Oryzias latipes: one gene and its partners. The protein of the gene in region 1 interacts with the protein of each later gene in a biochemical or structural test. Links are inferred from orthologs where the notes say so. Each region holds a gene or a part of one and is shown in the gene's direction. Other genes may lie near its edges.

Region 1 (4,393 bases):
GTGCAGCTTTGGCTGAGCTCAGTCAGTCCTTCCTGCTTTCTGCTCTCAGCTCTGTGCTGTGTTTAATGTCTGTATTCATGTCTTTGAACCTGTGGGGGAATTGAAAAGCAGCTGAAAATCCACTTCCTGTTTCAGGAAAAACCCTCAAATGTTAAGAAAATGGTGCACAGACTCACATTAATATCTGTTTTGTTGTTGTCCCAATTTTAAATAAATATGTTTTAAAGACTTTTGTTCTTTCAAATCTGTTTTGTTTCAGTTAAAAACAAAAACAAAGTGAACAACTTTAACATCGAGCAAGAAATTTAAGACTTTAGAAGAACTACTGTTGAAGCTAAAAAATTAATTTTTAATTGGATAAGAAACTAAAAATGTCTCCTATCTAAATGTAATATGTTCTTTACAGCTAAAAAGTTTAATCGTTTTTTAGATAAAAACTTCACACTTGATCCAATTACTTTTTTAGCTGAAACATACTTGGACATTTAGTAAAATACTTCTTCAAATAATGTTTTGAATCAAAGTGTTTCTATCCTAAATGTTCACAATAAGTTTTTGTTTTTTTTGAAGTATTTTTAAAAATGTATTTTAACAAAGACACTGATTTTAAAAAAAAACACCACTTGTTAATGCAATTTTTTAGAGCACAAAATCACTTTTCTACTTTAATTAGAAAATTTGCAGCAGAATGACTTTATTTAATGAAAGTCGGTGGAGCCTGTTTATTGCAGGGATGATGGTTTGTATTAACATTAGTTCAGCTTGTTTATATAAAAGATAAAATATTCACAATCTGTCAGCAGAGGCTATTCTAAGTTGTTAAAGCAAAATTGAATTTATTCTGTGGCAAATCAAAGTATTTTTTTTAGGTTGGTTAGTTTTTAGTTTTGATTTGGTTCAGGATCCATTGAGAGTTTAATGTCAAAAACAAGGAAAAACGTGTGATATCATCAGTCTGTTTGTATCATTAAACTGTCCCTGTGATCGTGTGGCTGTGCAAAAGACCGGCAACACATCTAGTGTGTACCCCTCCCCTTGCCCAGCAGTGGCTGGAACAGGCTCCACTTAATACCCCAAAAGATTAAGTGGGTTCTGAAGGTGGAATCTTTTAAAATGAACTTTATCGACAACTATTGCACATACAATACATCATACAAAACAGGAAACTCCATACCTAGTTTCCATACCAGATTTCTACATTGCACGATTTTAGTCAACCATTTTATGCTTTACCATATGGGGGGGGGGGGGGGGGATTTGTTTTAGTTAAGTAACTTTATTGAATTTTCCAGGAGATTGAAATACAGAAAAAAACAATAGTACTTAAAAAAAAAGAAAATAAAAGGCAAATTTTCTCACATTTTAAATGAAACCAACCCCAACTCAACTTTTTTATTAGTTTAGGATTCCATACTTTTATGCACAGTACCATTTCTTAATGAAAAACGCTGTTTTTTTGTTTGTATATTTACATTTGTGTATGTCACATTTAGCTAAGTCAGTTAGGGGACAATATTCGTAGAGCAAATGCCCCCTCCTCCTCCCTCTGACGTCACTGGATCACGTGGCTTTATCAGTGATGCGGAAATGAAAGTTCACTAGCTACAGCGGCGGAGTACAGCTGAAAAAGGTACAAGAACTTTGCCATAAATGCTTCTGTTTTCTTGTGTCAGTACACCGAGCTGTGTCTAATATTAAGCGGGTTGCTATAGATCTTAATCTGTTTTCACTCTGGTGTATGAAATAGCTATTTTTTCCATGTCCTTTGGTAAAATCCAGCTAACAAGCTTGCGGGCTAACAGTTACCTTCTCACGACAAATGAGCCGTTCCAAACGGAAGTGAAGACAGTTCCCCTTCAAATTAAGCATTAGGGGTGAGAAAGGATTTAAGAAACACATTTTAATTAAAAAAATCAAAGTTTTATTCAAAATGTAGGGTTTATTAAATTACTAGCTTGTGTGTTCTTGAAGTGTTAAAACAAATTAAATTGGAACAAGAAACGCTTAATGCGTAGTAATGTAGTTATGTACTGAAATAACCATAATAATTAAGTCATGTCGTTCTCTTTCTTGTATTTTTATTTTCATATTTTAATAGAAAATACTAAATTATCTTTTTTGGGGGAATTAGAGTAAATAAAGGACTTTTTCTTGGTAAGCTTTTAATTTAAAAATCCTCAACGGAAGTTTGCGTGTTGTCTGCCCAGGATTGACGGTAATACTTTCATATGCCTCAATCATCTGCCTTGTTTGTATTTTGTTAGCAGCAGTCACTCAGGGGTACCATGCAGTGACGATAAATCGGTTGAGCAGAAATGGTTCCGTCTTCATCCGTTTAGGTGAAGCTTTGCCGGGGTCCGGAGGCGCCATTGATCCCCCTGGCCGAACCTTTCCGAGGTTAATTCGCAAGGTTGACGGGAATGCGAGCTTTTGTTGTGTTAGCTCCCCTCGGATTGGCTCTGACTGAGACAGAAGTGGTTGTCAAAACACACAGTTGATTTCTGATTAGGACCAACTTTTATCAAGACTCGCCTTGTCTGAGGCTTCTGACTGTGTGCAGAGGAAATGCAGAGTTTATAGTTATTTACTCTGCAAACAATGACGGAGCATCATCAAGGACGTAGTTGCTTGCAGCAGGGTTAATGCCTGCTGTGCTGCAGATTTGTTCGCACTAATAAACGCTGCAGACTGCATCCCTGCATGACTTTGCTCAAGGTGATGTTGATGAGACTTGGCTGCAGCCTCTGACAGGGAAAACAAAACACTTTCAGGTATATGCTTTTATTTTGTAATGTTTTTTTTAATGACAGGTGGAATCCAATCACAACATAATGACAAACTGTTAGATGAGGTGATTAAAAGGTGGTTCAGGGCCACTGGTTTATAAAATAGTTGCACATTGAAAGACAATAAAACACATTTTTATTAGACTTAGACACTTGTGAATATAAAACAGAACATTTAAAAAGTTTTCTAAATTAGAGATTTTTGTCTATAGTCAAAACAAAATGTAATTTATTTATTTACATTGTTGTTTGTGCAGTTTGCACTCAACCTAACAATAATGCATTTTGGTGGTGAGCTGTGATGTTTGCAGGACACTTGGTCCTTGGCTTTGTCCTCCAGGCGTCACATCTCTGCAGACTTTGCACATTAAATGAGTGAAAAATGCAGGAAGCGTTGGCTCTAAAGGATGAGGCTGCACCCCATGATTTGTTCAAACCTCGATTTTTGGGTCACAGTTTTGTTTTTGGTTTAATTTGTTTTTTACAAAACTATGACAAAAAACCTAAAAATTCTTCTTCTTTTCAGTGCCTTCTGGTCCGTGCAGAAGGCACTTTTAGTTTCATTGTACGTATGACAATAAAGACTTATCTATCAATTTATAAGTAACAATGAAGAAAACAACCTTTCAGTTGGCTTACACTGAGCCTGAAAACAATAAAAAAAGAATCATTCTTAAATTTAGCACGATGATTGAGACTTTCAACGTAAGCATACCTGTATGCAGCAGGGATGCAATGATTCACTTTTTGTGTAGTGTTGTGGTCATTTGTGCGACTGCTTGTGTTGCAGAGCTGGGATGTCATGGCAGCTGCCAGCGTGACCAGACCTGGCAGTGCTCAGAGTACAGAAAAGTCTCAGTTGATCCTGAAAGGTCAGTCTTTTTTATTTTTGATCACCTCTTCATAGACTTTGGGTGATTATTATTAGTATTTTTTTGTAAAACAATATTTCAAATTAAAGTGAAGCCAGATTTATGTTTAAATGTTCATTTGTGGTTTTTAAAGATGGGAGCAGATAATAATTGAAGCTTTATAGAATTTTCCAGTTAATTATTATTATTATTATTATTATTATTATTATTATTATTATTAAGTTTCATATAAATGTCTTCCTTGATCTATTTGGGCAAATATGTGAAGCATACGACAAAAACCTGGAATGTGTCAAAGTTAGACTGAAACACTTGCAGATTAATATTTTCTGCTTTTTTTTTGGAAAAACAACAAACAAAATTTTTACCAGAACATATTATGTTATGGTTACAACTTTTTGGTGGCATATTTGATCAGATAGCCTTAAAAAAATGTAAATTGGTTCATTTTACAAATAATTTTCATGTTTTCTCAAATACATTTTTCATGTTTCTCAGCTAATCTATGTGCTGTAAAAAAAAAATCCAGCAATTATATTAAAAAAAAAAACCCAGAATGTTTCAATTCTTATGCTGCAGCTTAAGATGATTTATTTGATGCCCAATTTTTAACTAATATATAATTGCTTGAGTTTTAGCTGTTTATAAAGATAAGTGAAGTTTAAACTTTCTGGTTTATCAGCTGATGCCTCTTTATTGCTGCATTCTGCTCTATTGTATTCGCTGCGGGACGTC
Region 2 (4,200 bases), on another chromosome or scaffold:
ACCCCCTTTCCCCCACCCCACCCCTGACTGATTGCTTCCAGACTCCTCCAGGAACGCGCCGCAGTCCCTCTGCTCGGTTTGGGGCTGCAGTGGCGCGCTCCTCCTCGGCGCCAGTTGGGGATCCGGGGGAACAATACGGGGGGGATAAACGACTGATACCCCCCCCCCCCCCCACACACACACATACACACACACACCCCACCTCCTCCCCCATCTTTCTCCATCTCCTCCACGCATGCACACACACCCCTCCTCAACCCCACACATCTCTGCCACCATCATTATCTGCCGCCCACCCCCATGCCCTGCAGCAACTCTGTCATATTAACATACTGCTGACTGCATCTCCTCCCCGGGACTACTGTCTGTCGAGGGAAGTCTGCAGACCAGAAACGGTTCATTTCTGTTTAAAAGAACAATTTCTCCTAAAACGTGTTAAATTTATTGGGTTTGAAGTGAGACATCACAGTGAGTGTTCCCCATCAAGCTGTATTTGTACATTTTTGGCACCAACATTGAGCTAAATTCCAGACATATATAAGTCTGTTATAATTAATATGGATTCCATGAGGGCAATGACACAGAAGGAAGGCTGGCACATGTTAAAAAGACAAGAAAAGACAAATTTGATCCTCAGCTGATGGATTGATCTGCTGGATAAATAAAGATGGGTGGGAACTCTTTGTGTGTGTAGTACCGAACATGTCCGATGGGGGGCAGCAACGAGCTCCCCCGAAGGAGTCAGCACTGTGGCTCACTTCCTAAATTCAACTCCAGCCATAAACTCTCCAAAACAATAAAACTGCCCTGTGTGATCACCATGGCAACAGTGGCGAAAAGCTATGAAGATATATTAAACTGATTCATAGCTTTAACGATGAAACACGTATTTACTGCTTATTCAGTACAAGCGTGAAATTAATGATTGAATATATATATATATATATATATATATATATATATATATATATATATATATATATATATATATATATATATATATATATATATATATATATAAACATTATTTTAGGACTGAAAGCAAACCAAAAAATCTGCAGATTTACTAAATAATTTAACTGAGAAATTTTTTTAATGTTGTTCTTTTTTCTGCAAATATTAAACTTTTGTGGCGTAAACTTTCTCATTTGTGTTTTCTAAGTGCGCGCGCGCGCTTGTGTGTGTGTGTGCACCGTGGGCTCTACTTGATCTGTTGTTTGCGCAACACAATCACATTTCTTTTAAGCGACAGGGTGTCTAGACACACACGTGACCGGGCGCGTCAATGCGCACTGGAGACTGGAGACGGAGCAAGGGCACCCAAACCATCCGCCTCATTTACAGACAGAGAGCCCTTTAGCCCGGACCAGATCAGCTGTCTGCTCGCTTTCCTCCACGCTCAGCCACGGAAACTCCGTGAGAGATACGATTTTGGATTATTTTATCTGGAGGGATTGCTAAAAGCAGGCTCGCTGCGTGGACGCAAAAAAGAAAAAGAAAAACGGAGGGTCTTGCTGTGGCTTTACAAACGCGACTCAACTCCGGTGGGAGACCTGGATTTTTTTCTCCTTGGCTCACTATTTTACCAGAAGACCTCATCCACTACATACTAAAATATACATTTAAAGGTGGGGAGCCCCAGTTCGTGCGCTCGGATGAAGGATTTTGTGGATTATGCTACTCAAGACGCGGCGGAGAGCTTCGCTTTTTCATGGGATGATTGCGCCAGCGTTGAGGCTTAATTAGGCCTTAGGTTTTTCTTATAAGTACCAGTTAGTTGTGACTTGAATAAACATTTCTGACAGCGTTTTTCCCCCCGCTGTAAACCGTCACGGCGTTTTTTTAAAGGGGTCAGTTCACAGCGCCGGATTGCACAAAACTGTAACGCATTCGGGCTTCACGCAGCTCCGCTGCTGCAGGTTTCCTGCTCCGGTTTGGTGTTTCTAAGCTCATAGATGTGATCTTTTTTTTTTTTTGTATTCTGATCGTGGAAACGTTGGCTGTCCCGCCAACCTCGAGCGCTTTCTGGTGACCTTTCTGCAGGAAAAACAGCTTCAGAGACTGGCGCATGCTATAGATTTCCTCTGCTTCTCCAGCTCCCAGTTTTTCCACCGTTTTCTCTCAGGCTGCTTGTCATTGCCTGGACTCGGATCCCGGAATCTTCATGATTTGCGGACACCATGCTCGTTTTTTAGCCGGGAAACCCTCTTTTCGTCCCGCATGTTTAGGACCAAACGATCGGGGCTCGTCCGGCGACTCTGGAGGAGCCGTGCGCCCGTGGAGGGCGACGGGGAGACGGATAGAGGGACGCATGGCTCCGGGGGCTGCTGCATGGGCAAAGCGACAAAAGTGGCCAAGTCCAACGCGGGGTCGGAGGCCGAATTGAAGGCGTTGACCCACTCGGTACTGAAAAAGATCAAAGAAAAACAATTAGAGGTGCTTTTGCAGGCGGTGGAGTCCAAGGGGGGCGTCCGGAGCCCCTGCCTTCTCCTGCCCAGCAAAGTGGACGCCAAAGTGGGTCAACAGTCTTACTCCCTCCCCATGCTGCTCTACAAAGTGTTCAGGTGGCCGGACCTCAGGCATTCCTCGGAGCTGAAGAGGCTGTCGTGCTGTGAATCTTACGGGAAAGCCAACCCCGAGCTCGTTTGCTGCAACCCTCACCACATGAGCAGGCTCTGTGAACTCGGTGAGCTTCAATATTTTCACTAAAAAAAACTCCAAAAAAATGAGGTCCTAGGTGGAGAGAAGGCTGAAAAAGACTGTGCCAATTAACCTAATTCTAATGACAACACCTCTCTGGCACAGTGGTCTTCAGGTTCCATTGATCTGAAGCTGTGCCAGATCCTTTTAGCAGGTTTGGTGGTCGAGTTTGAATAGAAACCTACTTTAATTAATTGTTCCATTTGATTTTTTTTTTCCAAAACTCAAATCCTCCTCAGCTATACGCATTGTCGCGGTTTCAGATTTCCAAACACCCCTGTTAAGAATTTCAACATTTCATAATTGGCATCCAAAGTACAGAAAGACTCTCCAGTCTTGAAATGTGTGTGTTTATGTGTGTGTGTGCTTGCTTGGCGTCCCGGGCCAAAAGAGGCCCGTATCTCAGTTTGTCCTAGACGCTGATAGTGGCCCTTCTGGCGCCAGGCGGCCCCCTGTTTATCTGCCTGCCAATGAAAGGCAATAGCCGCCCGGCCAGCCTCACTGCCTGCTTCTCCAGGCGGAGCTGACAGGCACAAATCAGCCCTCCCCTGAAGAATGACAACTCTTATCAGAAAGTTCAGATCTCTCCTTTGTGTTTTTTTTCTTCCTCTTCTTTTCTCATGCAGTTTTTTTTCTTTCCCCCCCTCCTCCTCCACACAGAGTCTCCTCCTCCTCCTTATTCGCGATATCCCATGGACTATTTGAAACCACCAGGTGAGCTTGATGCATCATTTCACATGGATATTTCCTAAGTCATTGCTTTTTGTTTGTTTGTTTGTGCAATAATATGCATGTTTGAAGTGATGTCATGAGCTGCACTTCACGTTGGTGTCCTCTGCAGGAAATGGTGTTGTGATTTATGGGGAGTTGTGTGTGTGTGGGGGGGGGGCAGAGTGACACGCCTGGCTGGCTGGCCAATTCTAATGTGGCTAGCAGCCAGGGCAAGGCAATACGAAGTTGAGATACCAGCTATGGACTGACTGGCATGTCACCAGGGCTTGTGTGCATGTCTGAGTTGGGGGTGGGGTTGGGGGGGTGGTCTGTCCATCTATCTATTGTGAACCACAGTGCTGAGAGAGACAGACAACAGAGTCTGGAGCCAGTCAGCCTTTATCAGATGGAATGATCAGTAGATTAAGAGTGGGGTTTGCGGTGTGTGTTTGGGAGGGAGGGGGGTCTTTTCTCCACTCAAAGTGATTGCCCCCCCCCTCCACCACCACCACCACCCAACACTTGTTTTCTGACTTGACCCGGGCCCCCGTGTGGCAGCAGGCCACAGCATCGTCATGGGTTACATCCGCTTTGAAGACCAAACCCTCGTCTTTAATTATCTCTTATTTCTGATCATCTCAGCCTCCATGGGCGCAGAAACAGCCCGGAGTTAAACAGCCAACTGTCAGCCAGCCAGTTAGTCAGAAGAAGGAGAAAGTGGCTTTCAGTGAGTGGAAACAATAGGAAGTAATTGCAGCTGCAGCTGCGGTTCTTCATAGCCCCCCTCCT
Region 3 (2,388 bases), on another chromosome or scaffold:
AACAGGATTCAGGTTACGTGATCAGACAGGCCTCTTTCCACTCCACCTCCACCTACCTTTCTCTGTTTTCACTACAGATCTGCTTTAACTCCTTTGTCCCTCCACGTTTTTGTCATTCAGTTTAAAAACTGCTTCACATGAATGAATACTTTAAAGGAGCCGACATTGGGAAGCATTTGTGTTGTATCCGGTGAGCTGCTGTCCAGTTGATTCCAAAACTTCTGCATCCTTTAGCTTGATGAGACTTTTAACACAGAGCCAGCAGTTTAATCCCTTTGTTCAAATTTTTTTTATTTCTGCCTTAAAAATGTGAAACATCTGGATCCAAACCCTGAATCATCAAAGTTCAATCCCACTGTTCTCGTTATCAGCTCCAGTCTGTCCTGTCCATTCTGAGGTCAGAGAGAACAAAAGAATCGTAAAGATTCAAGAAGGAGAAAGTTTAGAAAAAGAAGCATATCAAATATAAACAGCTATACAGCAAAAAATGTAAAAGACATGAAGATCAGTCCACTTTGAATGTAGCACATTTGACAAAAGACGCTTCAAGATCAAGCTTCAAATCGTATTTTTTGTCTTTCTGCCTTATTGGTCAAAGTACGGCCTCATTTAAAGTCCCACTCCAATCCTCTTTGATCTATTGTAAAAGTATCCCCACTGCTCTTTTAATGAGGATTTTCAGTCAAAAAAAACAAATAAAACATTAGTTCATTAGAAATTTACCTCTGAATTGAGGGCAACCCCATTGGTGCAAAGTAAGCCCGCCCCTATTTCCCGTCATCCATCTGATTACACTTTCTCCCACTAGCTTACAGCCCCAACCGAACATTGCAGATGCAACAAAAACGGGGAGCAATGTTGGAGCAGATAACAGTTCAGACGAGGAAAACAAAGACGTTCATGGATCTATTTGTCTGCAAGTGGATACATCAGAATGGAGCAGAGCAGGGAGCTTGTTGCCCACTAATTATAGCTTGTATGTCACCTCTACAGGCTTTCGCCAACTGTATTTCTGCTCCTAATTCGCCATGATTACAAACACAACACAATTTACATCAGAGTGGGTCTGCCAATAGGTCATTTTGGAACGAAAGTTCTCAGAAATTGCTAAACGTTCTGTTCTTGAACTCTTGTTTAAGTAACCCTGACAGAGGCTGCAGACGCGCTTTGACGTGGAGAAAGAAAATCAACAGTCACGGGTTACAAATCCAGCTGATGTGTGTGGAGGGCTGGCCTACTGGTCACTGACATGAACCCTTGGCTGGTTGGTCATTGGTTCAAGTCCCAATTCTGACTTGAAAAAGTCATAGTAAAGTAAAAAAGCCTTTGCTCCACTGCTGTAATGCCCTTGAGCAAGGCTCTTAAGAGGAGCTGTTCCGTGAACAGAGGTTGACCCGGGTATCTCCCAGGTGAAAAGAGTTCCGTCTCAATGGGTGTCTCTTATATAAATAAAGGGATAAAAAACAGCTTCAGACAGTGACTCTAGTTTTAAGTGTTCTATGAATGTGAAAAACATCTTATCTTGTTTCCATGATCAGATTCAGTGCCAGACAGAACAAAACCTTGCCGTCTTGTTAAAGCAGTTTTATGACGCTGTGCAATAATAATTGCCATAATTCACAGAAAAGTCGAAGCCTCGTCTTACTAAACAGCAGGAAGTTCAGCTGCAGCTCAGAATAGATCCAGTTTGATTGCATATGCCAAATATCAGGGCTAAAATCGATCAGGTGTTTGTTTTTCCAGGACTTGATGTGTTTACTTACAGGCAGAGCGGCTGGTTCTGCATCCTCACCATCTGTTGTCTGTGTGTGCGTCCCAGGCGGCAGACAGTGACCAGCACCCCCTGCTGGATCGAGCTCCACCTGAACGGCCCTCTGCAGTGGCTCGACAAGGTGCTGACACAGATGGGCTCCCCAAGCATCCACTGCTCCAGTGTCTCCTAGGGGGAGCTTCCCTGCCCCCCCCCCCCCCCCCCCCTTTCACGAAACTGAAAACACAGATAGGAAGAGCAGCCCGAGAACTACATGATGACACGCCTCTCATCCAGCCACTGTTTGTCCCTCCTCGCTGCCAGTAGCACTTTTTTTATTTTCTAGTTGCAAAAAGGGGACACGTGCATTAATGCAGTATCAGTTTAGGAGGATCTCAGCATATTGGTCTTTTTTCTTTTTTCTTTTTTTTTTTGAAGGTCATTGTCATTTTTGGCATCTGATAGCCAGAAAGGCAGAATTATTTTTTTATTTCCTGTTTTTTTTTAATGTCTTGTTTATTGTTTATAGCTGTTGGATACATTTTACACTCAATTATCTTTAAAAAACATAGAAAAAATAAATTGTTGACATTTTTATGCGTTGTTGTTCCCTTTAAAACCCATGTAATTATGAACGT
Region 4 (3,677 bases), on another chromosome or scaffold:
TACATTTGAGTTATTGATTAACAGAAGTATTTAAAAAAACAAACTAATGAAATATGGCTGGACAAAAATGATGGTACCTCCGTAAAAGACTGAGAACTAATTGCCCAGGGGGTCATGATGAACTCAGGTGTGTCCTTTAATTGACATCACAGCTGTTTTCAAACCCATAATCAGTCAGTCTGCCTATTCAAAGGGAGACAAATAGTCACGTTGCTGTTTGGTAAAAAGGTGTGAACCACACTGAACATGGACAACAGAAAGCCAAGGAGAGAATTGTCCCAGGACATTAGAAACAAAATTATAGACAAACATTGTAAAGGGGAAGGCCAGAAAACCATCTCTAAGCAGCTTGAAGTTCCTGTGACGACAGTGGCACATATTATTCAGAAGTTTAAGACCCACGGGACAGTAGCCAACCTCCCTGGACGTGGCCGGAAGAGGAAAATTGATGACAAATTGAGGAGACGGATAGTATGAACTGGATCCAAAGAGCCCAGAAAACCTCCAAAGACTTTAAAGGGGATCTCCTAGATCAAAAAAGGGAGACTGGAATTTGCAGAAATGCATGTTGACAAGCCACAAAGCTTCTGGGAAAATGTTGGACAGATGAGACAAAACTGGAGCTTTTTGGTACGGCACATCAGTTCTATGTTCGTAAACTCAAAAATGAAGCATAGAACGAAAAGAACACTGTCCCTACTAAGAAACATGGAGGAGGCTCAGTTATGTTTTGGGGCTGCTTTGCTGCATCTGCACAGGGTGTCTTGGAGTTGTGCAAGGTAAAAGGAAATCTCAAGATCATCAAGGCATTCTGGGTAGAAATGTGCTGCCTAGTGTCAGAAAGCTTGGTCTCAGTCACAGGTCATGGGTCTTCCAACAGGACAACGATCCAAAACACACAGCCAAAAACCCCCAAGAATGGCTAAGAGAAAAGCATTGGACTATTCTGAAGTGGCCTTCTATGAGCCCAGATCTAAATCCCATTGAACCTTTGTGGAAGGAGCTGAAACATGCCATTTGGAGAAGACACCCGTCAAACCTGAGACAACTGGAGCAGTTTGCTCATGAGGAGTGGGCCAAAATCCCTGTAGACAGGTGCAGAAGGCTCATTGGCAATTACAGAAACTGTTTAATTGCAGTGATTGCCTCAAAAGGTTATGCAACAAAATATTAAGTTATGGAGATACCATCATCTTTGTGCAGCCCTATTTTTTTTAAATAATTCTGTTAATCAACAACTTAAAAGTAAAAGCTTATTGTGATTATTTAATTTTCAATAAATTTTAATTTATTGTTTCTTTTGAACGTTTCAAGTCATGTCAGTGAGCATTGTGGACTTTCTTTCTTTCTTTAACTGAGGGGTCCCAACAATTTTGTCCACCACTGTAGATGCAAACGCGGCTTGTTGTGCATTGCATACCTCTGTTGTGTGTCATGCATTTGAACCTTCACTGGGAAATGTTACCGGACTTAGGAAGCCATGATGCACAGCTGCACAGACTGTCCTTTTATAAGATCATTATGCACATCCACCTTTGCAAAAGTTCAGATGTTGTTTGTTTTTGTGGGTGAGACGCAGACACGCTGCAGGGGCCAACTTTACAGTGATGCCATGAAACGGGCGGCACCCACAAGGAGCGAAATGCGGTGCCTCAGAGATTGAGTCGTTTTAGTTCTGGGTTGGAGCAGAACTCAGGAAAATAACTAATATTTAAGAAAAAATGTGTTCTTTTGTGGGCCAAAGGTGATTATAAATATGGATATGTTTTACTATAAAAGGCTTAAGAATAGCATGGTATAGGCCCTTTGACATAAACATCACATGACAGTGTTTTGATGATAAAAACTTGGTTAAAAAAATCATTAAAATACATTATTCTTTGCAAAAAAGGCATTGTGGTCTATAATTGCCAATCTAGTGAGCATCAATGCACACTGGCTTTTCACAGAGACTTCTGGGACGTTTCTAGGGCACTGGATTTTGGAATTGTTGATTCAGACAGCACTAAAAAATGGGTAAGGAACAATAAAATGTGTTTTTACGCTCCATCATCAGGATGATTCCTGTTCTCTTCTCCATCTTAAAGAACTGTTTTAGTTTCTTAAGGCAACTTTTGGAGGCTGTGCTCTGACTCACCCCCCCCCCCCCCCCCCGCTTCATCTGGAAACGTTTCAGCTTCATTATTTGACTTCAGGCTTTGTGTATTTTTCTCTCACGAGTCACCTTAAAAACTCCTGACTCGATGAACGTGGAGCAATCTCTGTTTTCCCAAAAGCTTCGCACTAAGTTGCTTATTTTACGCAAACTGGAAAAAAATATTTTGTTTCTTGCAGTAACTCATAGTTCAATTGAGGGCAGATAAGTCATGGGTTTTGGGTTTGTTTTTTACATCATTCTTTTTTTTTGAAGTTGAAATCTAGAGTGTTTCTGCTGCGGGGTTTGATAGATGAGAAGCTCTCATGTTTTAAAGGTTTCATTCATTACAGTTTATGGAGGCATCCAATCATTTTAAGCCAAACAGAGTTTCAGACTGCCTGCAGCTTTTGTTTTCCTGGTCACCTCGTGTGTGAAACGTTCCCTAAAATTCAGCCGCCAGTGGAGTTATTGGACACTCTCCAGAGACTCCCGAACGTCTCGCTTTCACGCGGTTTCTGGAAGAAGGATCGTTTAGTAAAAGGATATCGAGTCTTTGGGTTTTTAACTGAAAAACTTTTCATTGAAGTGAGAAGAAACCGGATCTCTGCCTGTGACAAAAACTGAGCAGAAGTTACACAATAAAGGCGGAAGACTATTTCATCGCCTAATTGGGACTAATTCATTTTATTTTGAGATGCAAAGGATATTTTTTCCTGTTGGTAAATACGTTTTGTCTTTTTCTTTCTTCTTCAGCCCCAATGCTACGGGCAGCGTAGAGACTTTGGATGAGCAGACGGAAACGGAGTCTGTTGTTTCCTTCAGGAGGGAGAGGCCTCGCCACCGGGAGAGCCTGGATCCACACGGTGAGCGCCGGCGCCGCATCCCAACAGGCCTTCCCGCCGCTGTCCTGTCCAGATTTGACGCTGCGCTGCTTGTTTATTTGCGTTTCATCCAGTTTGGGATGAGAAACTTAACCTAAATGACATGACGAAATATCTGTAAAGACTAAAGGGAGCAAACATGATGGTTCTTTTCTTCTGATCTCCTGTTTAAGGTTCTCGCATGAACGGTCAGAGCCGGTTGGAGCGCCACCTGGCGGGGTACGAGAGCTCCAGCACGGTGATGAGCAGCGAGCTGGAAACCACCAGTTTCTGCGACTCTGAGGATGACGACACCATGAGCAGGTAGGAAACTAAAGGGGGCGGAGTCTTTTAACCCATTAACCCTTTATCTTTATAGAACCACATGTGGCTTCTGTAAAAACTGATTTACAAAAAAAAGGTTCTAAAATTTCCTCAAGAAAGGCTTTAAACCTTTTCTTCCAGTCAGTTACTAAATGTAAATGCTCCAAAAAAGGGAACTAAAACTGATTTGACTGCATTTTGTGAGCAATTTCATCCATTTTTGAACAGCAACTCACTGCAATCACTTTCAGTGCATCTAATTATAGTCACAATAGATGAGATGTCATATCTTTTATTGCATTAGAAATATGGTTGATAATAAGAATATTGAATCATTTTTAAAGGTTGTTGTACTA
Region 5 (4,405 bases), on another chromosome or scaffold:
TCTTCCTCTCTTCTTTTTCTTTGAGGGCACACTCATGATCAGACCCTGAACTGTCTGAAGACTCAGAAGAACTTGATCGCCGCCTCCTTCTGTCTTTGTCGCTCCTTTCTTCCATCCTCTTCTGCCGCTCCTTACTTTTGTCTCTGCTGTGTTGTCTTTCACGTTCTCTGCTGCTGCTCTTCCATCTCTCTTTGTCATATTCCCTCTTGTGTCCGTCTCTGCCCAAACTCCTCCTCTCAGAACTTCTTTGTTTTCTCCTCTCTCGGTCATTGCTTTCATCAGAGGAATATGACTTGGATTTGGATCTTCTTTTTCTCCGGTCTTGAGATCGTCCTCTGCGAGGCTCTGCTTCCTTTGTCCTCCTTATTTTGGGATCATCTAGATCAGGACTAAAACAGAAAATATGTATAACTTAACAATGAGGTAATACTTTCAAAAAGTGATGGGTTACAGGTTTCAACAGACAACCTAAAAGCCTCTGCAACAAGTAATCTGCCCTGTGACTAATTGTTTACGCAGGTAATGGGGTGACAAAGGAAAAACTATGTATATATACTATACCATGAGAGGAAATACTTAACTTTGGAGATTATAAAAAATATAATAACATAGAATAAACAGTTAACTAGATACTGTTTTGGAGTTTTTTGTTAGAATGTTAATTTATGTGTCGATGAAAATCATTTTTAAATGTTAATGAAAAATTGTTGCCACTATATATTATATTTGATATGTCCAGCTCACCTTGATGATCGGCCCTTCGATTTATTTCGCCTGTCGCTCTCGGAGCCACTACTGGGTCCAGAGCGACGTCGATGTCGAGGCCGCCCTCGGGAAGGAGACCCAGCATCGCTGCTGCTGGATCTTCCTGGGCCGCTTTTTCGTTTTTCCACAGATTTGCCGCGACCTCTTCTTCTGTCATGTGATCTAGAGCGGCTCTCTCTGGATTTATTTCGCCGATTTCGGCTCCCGCTTCTTGATTTTGACCGGGACCTACGTCGAGATTTGGATCCCATTACGAACTTGCTAACAGTGCGGGGTCCGAAAGGCACTGTGTCGCGTAAATAAGAGGTAATAGCTTGAAACCGTTTACAATGAAAAATAAATATTGCACAAAAGTTGCAACTGTCAATGCTACAAACTATTAATTGTTGTTTAATATGTTATTTTATAAAACTTAAAAACATTAATACGGTCAAAAAAAATCCACAGTGCGCACGAATATGACGTCATGTTAGCGAGTATTATTGGCAAGTATTTCAAATAGCAAAAATTATTTAATTTTTTTTTGTTTGTTTTAACTACACAAAACATTTCGAACAAATAATAATAAAGCAACTTGAATGTTTTTTCCCCCACAAATGAGCAAAACATTTTGAATAGTTGTTGAACAAGAAGAAAAACACTTGGGGTCCTTACGAAGTCAGGCGAATGTAGTTCATTTTTCCCTCTGAAAACATTTTCGATAACAAAAGTAATACTTTGGTCAAGCTAAACGTTCTTTCTATAGGTAAAATAATTATAAGTGCTTATATTTTCCGCATACTCTGTCTTAAATACAGGAAAGGTGTTTTCTAATGATAAAATGCACAAAACCGAACTACAAATCCCATACACCAGAGGGAGTTGGCTGTTTTCAGAGTGCAGGGGAGTCCTTTCAGCAACAGTCTTTCCTAATCGTGTTCTCAGATGGCAGCACAAACGTACTTTGTTGCTAGTGTCTTCAGCGTTGTAGTTTAGTACCTCTTTAAATTAGAAAACGCGTCTCGCTTCCTAAAGTGCAGTAAGTGTTGTTTCTGTGCTGAGATCATCGGCTACGGCTGGTCGGTAACTCTGATTAGCCACATTAGCCAGCAGCAACCATTAGATTTACGGCTTATATGCGCGGTTAACCTGGTAAATTGACTAAATCTTTAGGTGCTGGTAGGTTATAATGTCTCGGTTAACTCAGCCGTTGTGAGTGTTGATATTCCCACGTTGTTATTGGGATCTTAGAGCAGAGAAGGTATTGTTTGGCTTGTGCACATCAGCATTATAGCCATAGGTTCGGCCTGTGTTTATTGTTTTTGGAGGTAGAAAACGCAGAACTTGTTGTGGGTCGCTCGACTGTTTTATATCAAACTTAGCTTCGTAAACAGAAGCATCGGCTGTCGAATTAAGATCCCCTCAAAAAACCAAACGAAGCAGAATGGCGCAACACGACTCCTCTCATGTCGCCAGCTCACAGAAAGCTCTCATGCTGGAGATGAAGAGCCTCCAGGAGGAGCCTGTGGAGGGATTCAAAATCACTCTCGTGGACGAAGCTGATTTATACAACTGGGAAGTGGCCATTTTTGGACCACCAAACACTCATTATGAAGGGGGGTACTTTAAGGTAAGAAGTGAAAATGGCAAGAAAATATAATGAGCTAAACTCAAACGATAAGACAAATACAACAAATGGATTTCTTCTTTTAGGCTCGCATCAAGTTTCCTATAGACTATCCATACTCCCCACCAACATTTCGCTTCCTCACCAAAATGTGGCATCCCAACATCTATGAGGTGTTGTATCACAATGACTACAGTGTAATATTGTGTTTTATTTGTGTTGTGGCTGCAGCAAATGACCTTCTTTCCACTCTTTTAGAATGGAGACGTGTGCATTTCTATTCTGCATCCACCAGTGGATGACCCACAGAGTGGAGAGCTGCCCTCAGAGAGATGGAACCCCACCCAGAATGTCCGGTCAGCAGATCCCTCACTCTTATCTCCTCTCTGGTCTCCTCCCTTCTTTGTTTTTTGGTTACTTTAATAATTTATTTGAAGTAGAGTCCTGTGAGTATGGGGTTTCTGTTTGTGCCAAAAATATGTTTTTGTCTGTGTCTTTTGGTCAATTGTCTATGTGTACTGAGCGAGTTTATTGAACATTGGTTCATGTCTATGTACTACAAAGCAATATCGTCTGCGTGCCCATGCTTCTTTGATTATTACTTTCCCCATATCGCCTCACTACGTTGTCAGGAAAGCCCTTAGCAACCGTTGCTAGTGTCGTTAGGTACGTCGTTTTCCCATGTCGCGTCGCTTGTCAAATTTTGCCAAAGCCGTCAGAAAGCAAATGCATTGTAATAATCAAACAAGCACGGGGCACGCAGAAGATACTGCTTAGTATTACATAGACATGAACCAATGTTCAATAAACTTGTTCAGTAGACATAGACAGTGGACGCAAAAACATATTTTTTAGCTCAAACAGAACCCCATATTTGAGATCCTCTTGGCCCCTTACGGATGGACTGCTGCTGTATAGTTTTAAATTATTACAATAACTTTGGTTTTTGTGACTTTTATGAACATCAGAGCAGTTTTTGAGACTATAGGTACAAATAAAAACCTTTGCATACACAAGACATACCACTCCTTTTCCACAACTCTCCCATGCCTAGATCCATATGCATCTTTATTTTCCTCATCCGAGCTGGCATCTCACTCAAAACTGTACAACTGGATAGCTCTGATATTGCTCAGTATTTTTGTCGCACTGTTAATGCTTGGTTTGGCTTGTAAAGGGCTGTAAGCTAGCAGGAGAGAGTGTAGACAAAGGGATGATGGGAAGGGGGGGGGTTGGGTTGCTATGCACCAACGGTCCCACATCTCAGAGGTGAATTTCTAATGTACTGCCGCTCTGCAGAAACTATGTCTTAAAAAAAAGTACACAGGTTTTTGGATTATGGCTAATACACGCATAAACATAATTAAAAGACCACTAGGAATACTTTGAAAATAAATCAAAAGATGAGTGGACTTTATAGACCTGGAATTGTGGACTTGAGTTGAGACCACACATGCCATTAATCACATTAGCAGCAGGGGTCATATTCCACCTTCACACTGCTCTGCACACTCAATAATCTTCTTATGCGTTAAAATTTCTTGTAGAATAATCCCTGCTTCTATTGTAATGAAGTAATACAATCAATTAGGAATATTTTATCCTGGATTATTAAAAACGTTAGTACCAAGATTGTAGAATTAAATGGTTAAATTGAACCTTTTTTTGCATCAGAGTTTTGCAACAACATTAAAAAGTTCCACAAAAAGATGTAAGTACTCAAACTTGTTTCAGCTGTTTTAACAGGCACCTTAATTTTTTCTATTGATAGTTATTACAGCAATTTTTTTAGAATAATTTACCGTGACCTGACATGGGTAAACAAAGAATGAAATGGTTCCTGTGAATTAGGATTTTGTTCCTACAAAATAAAAATTCATTGATGTTGGAGTTATGTAATTATCATTTGCTTACACGCTATAATCTCCATAATATGGTTGTGTCACATTTATCTTTCAGTAAGAAAACAATGACCTAAAAAGTTCTGATTATGCGAGAATATGATGTTCCTGGTGTTTCTGATTAAATGATCCA

Evidence for each region.
Region 2: the proteins of wwp2 (region 1) and smad7 are reported together in a solved structure, tested with the Homo sapiens proteins (2 studies listed by BioGRID, with this or other methods). The link is inferred for Oryzias latipes from reciprocal best matches to the Homo sapiens genes WWP2 and SMAD7.
Region 3: of the proteins of wwp2 (region 1) and mothers against decapentaplegic homolog 3, one has a biochemical effect on the other in vitro, tested with the Homo sapiens proteins (2 studies listed by BioGRID). The link is inferred for Oryzias latipes from reciprocal best matches to the Homo sapiens genes WWP2 and SMAD3.
Region 4: the proteins of wwp2 (region 1) and dvl2 form a complex in vitro, tested with the Homo sapiens proteins (2 studies listed by BioGRID, with this or other methods). The link is inferred for Oryzias latipes from reciprocal best matches to the Homo sapiens genes WWP2 and DVL2.
Region 5: the proteins of wwp2 (region 1) and ubiquitin-conjugating enzyme E2 R1 form a complex in vitro, tested with the Homo sapiens proteins (2 studies listed by BioGRID, with this or other methods). The link is inferred for Oryzias latipes from reciprocal best matches to the Homo sapiens genes WWP2 and CDC34.

The regions. Positions count from the first base shown.
Region 1 is NC_019864.2:27,459,083-27,463,475, forward strand, and holds the start of wwp2 (NEDD4-like E3 ubiquitin-protein ligase WWP2), read left to right. Parts: upstream 1-1,530; 5' UTR 1,531-1,630; intron 1,631-3,576; 5' UTR 3,577-3,588; coding exon 3,589-3,658; intron 3,659-4,393. UniProt on the Homo sapiens protein: E3 ubiquitin-protein ligase which accepts ubiquitin from an E2 ubiquitin-conjugating enzyme in the form of a thioester and then directly transfers the ubiquitin to targeted substrates.
Region 2 is NC_019870.2:9,759,762-9,763,961, reverse strand, and holds the start of smad7 (mothers against decapentaplegic homolog 7), read left to right. Parts: upstream 1-1,268; 5' UTR 1,269-2,220; coding exon 2,221-2,686; intron 2,687-3,360; coding exon 3,361-3,414; intron 3,415-4,200. UniProt on the Homo sapiens protein: Antagonist of signaling by TGF-beta (transforming growth factor) type 1 receptor superfamily members; has been shown to inhibit TGF-beta (Transforming growth factor) and activin signaling by associating with their receptors thus preventing SMAD2 access.
Region 3 is NC_019861.2:12,626,377-12,628,764, reverse strand, and holds part of mothers against decapentaplegic homolog 3, read left to right. Parts: intron 1-1,819; coding exon 1,820-1,943; 3' UTR 1,944-2,388. UniProt on the Homo sapiens protein: Receptor-regulated SMAD (R-SMAD) that is an intracellular signal transducer and transcriptional modulator activated by TGF-beta (transforming growth factor) and activin type 1 receptor kinases.
Region 4 is NC_019876.2:14,943,332-14,947,008, forward strand, and holds part of dvl2 (segment polarity protein dishevelled homolog DVL-2), read left to right. Parts: intron 1-2,890; coding exon 2,891-3,000; intron 3,001-3,191; coding exon 3,192-3,321; intron 3,322-3,677.
Region 5 is NC_019875.2:22,330,296-22,334,700, forward strand, and holds the start of ubiquitin-conjugating enzyme E2 R1, read left to right. Parts: upstream 1-1,581; 5' UTR 1,582-2,188; coding exon 2,189-2,374; intron 2,375-2,457; coding exon 2,458-2,544; intron 2,545-2,629; coding exon 2,630-2,727; intron 2,728-4,405. Other genes in the region: cactin, read right to left, coding at 1-389, 745-1,016. UniProt on the Homo sapiens protein: E2 ubiquitin-conjugating enzyme that accepts ubiquitin from an E1 ubiquitin-activating protein, and catalyzes its covalent attachment to other proteins by an E3 ubiquitin-protein ligase complex. In vitro catalyzes 'Lys-48'-linked polyubiquitination.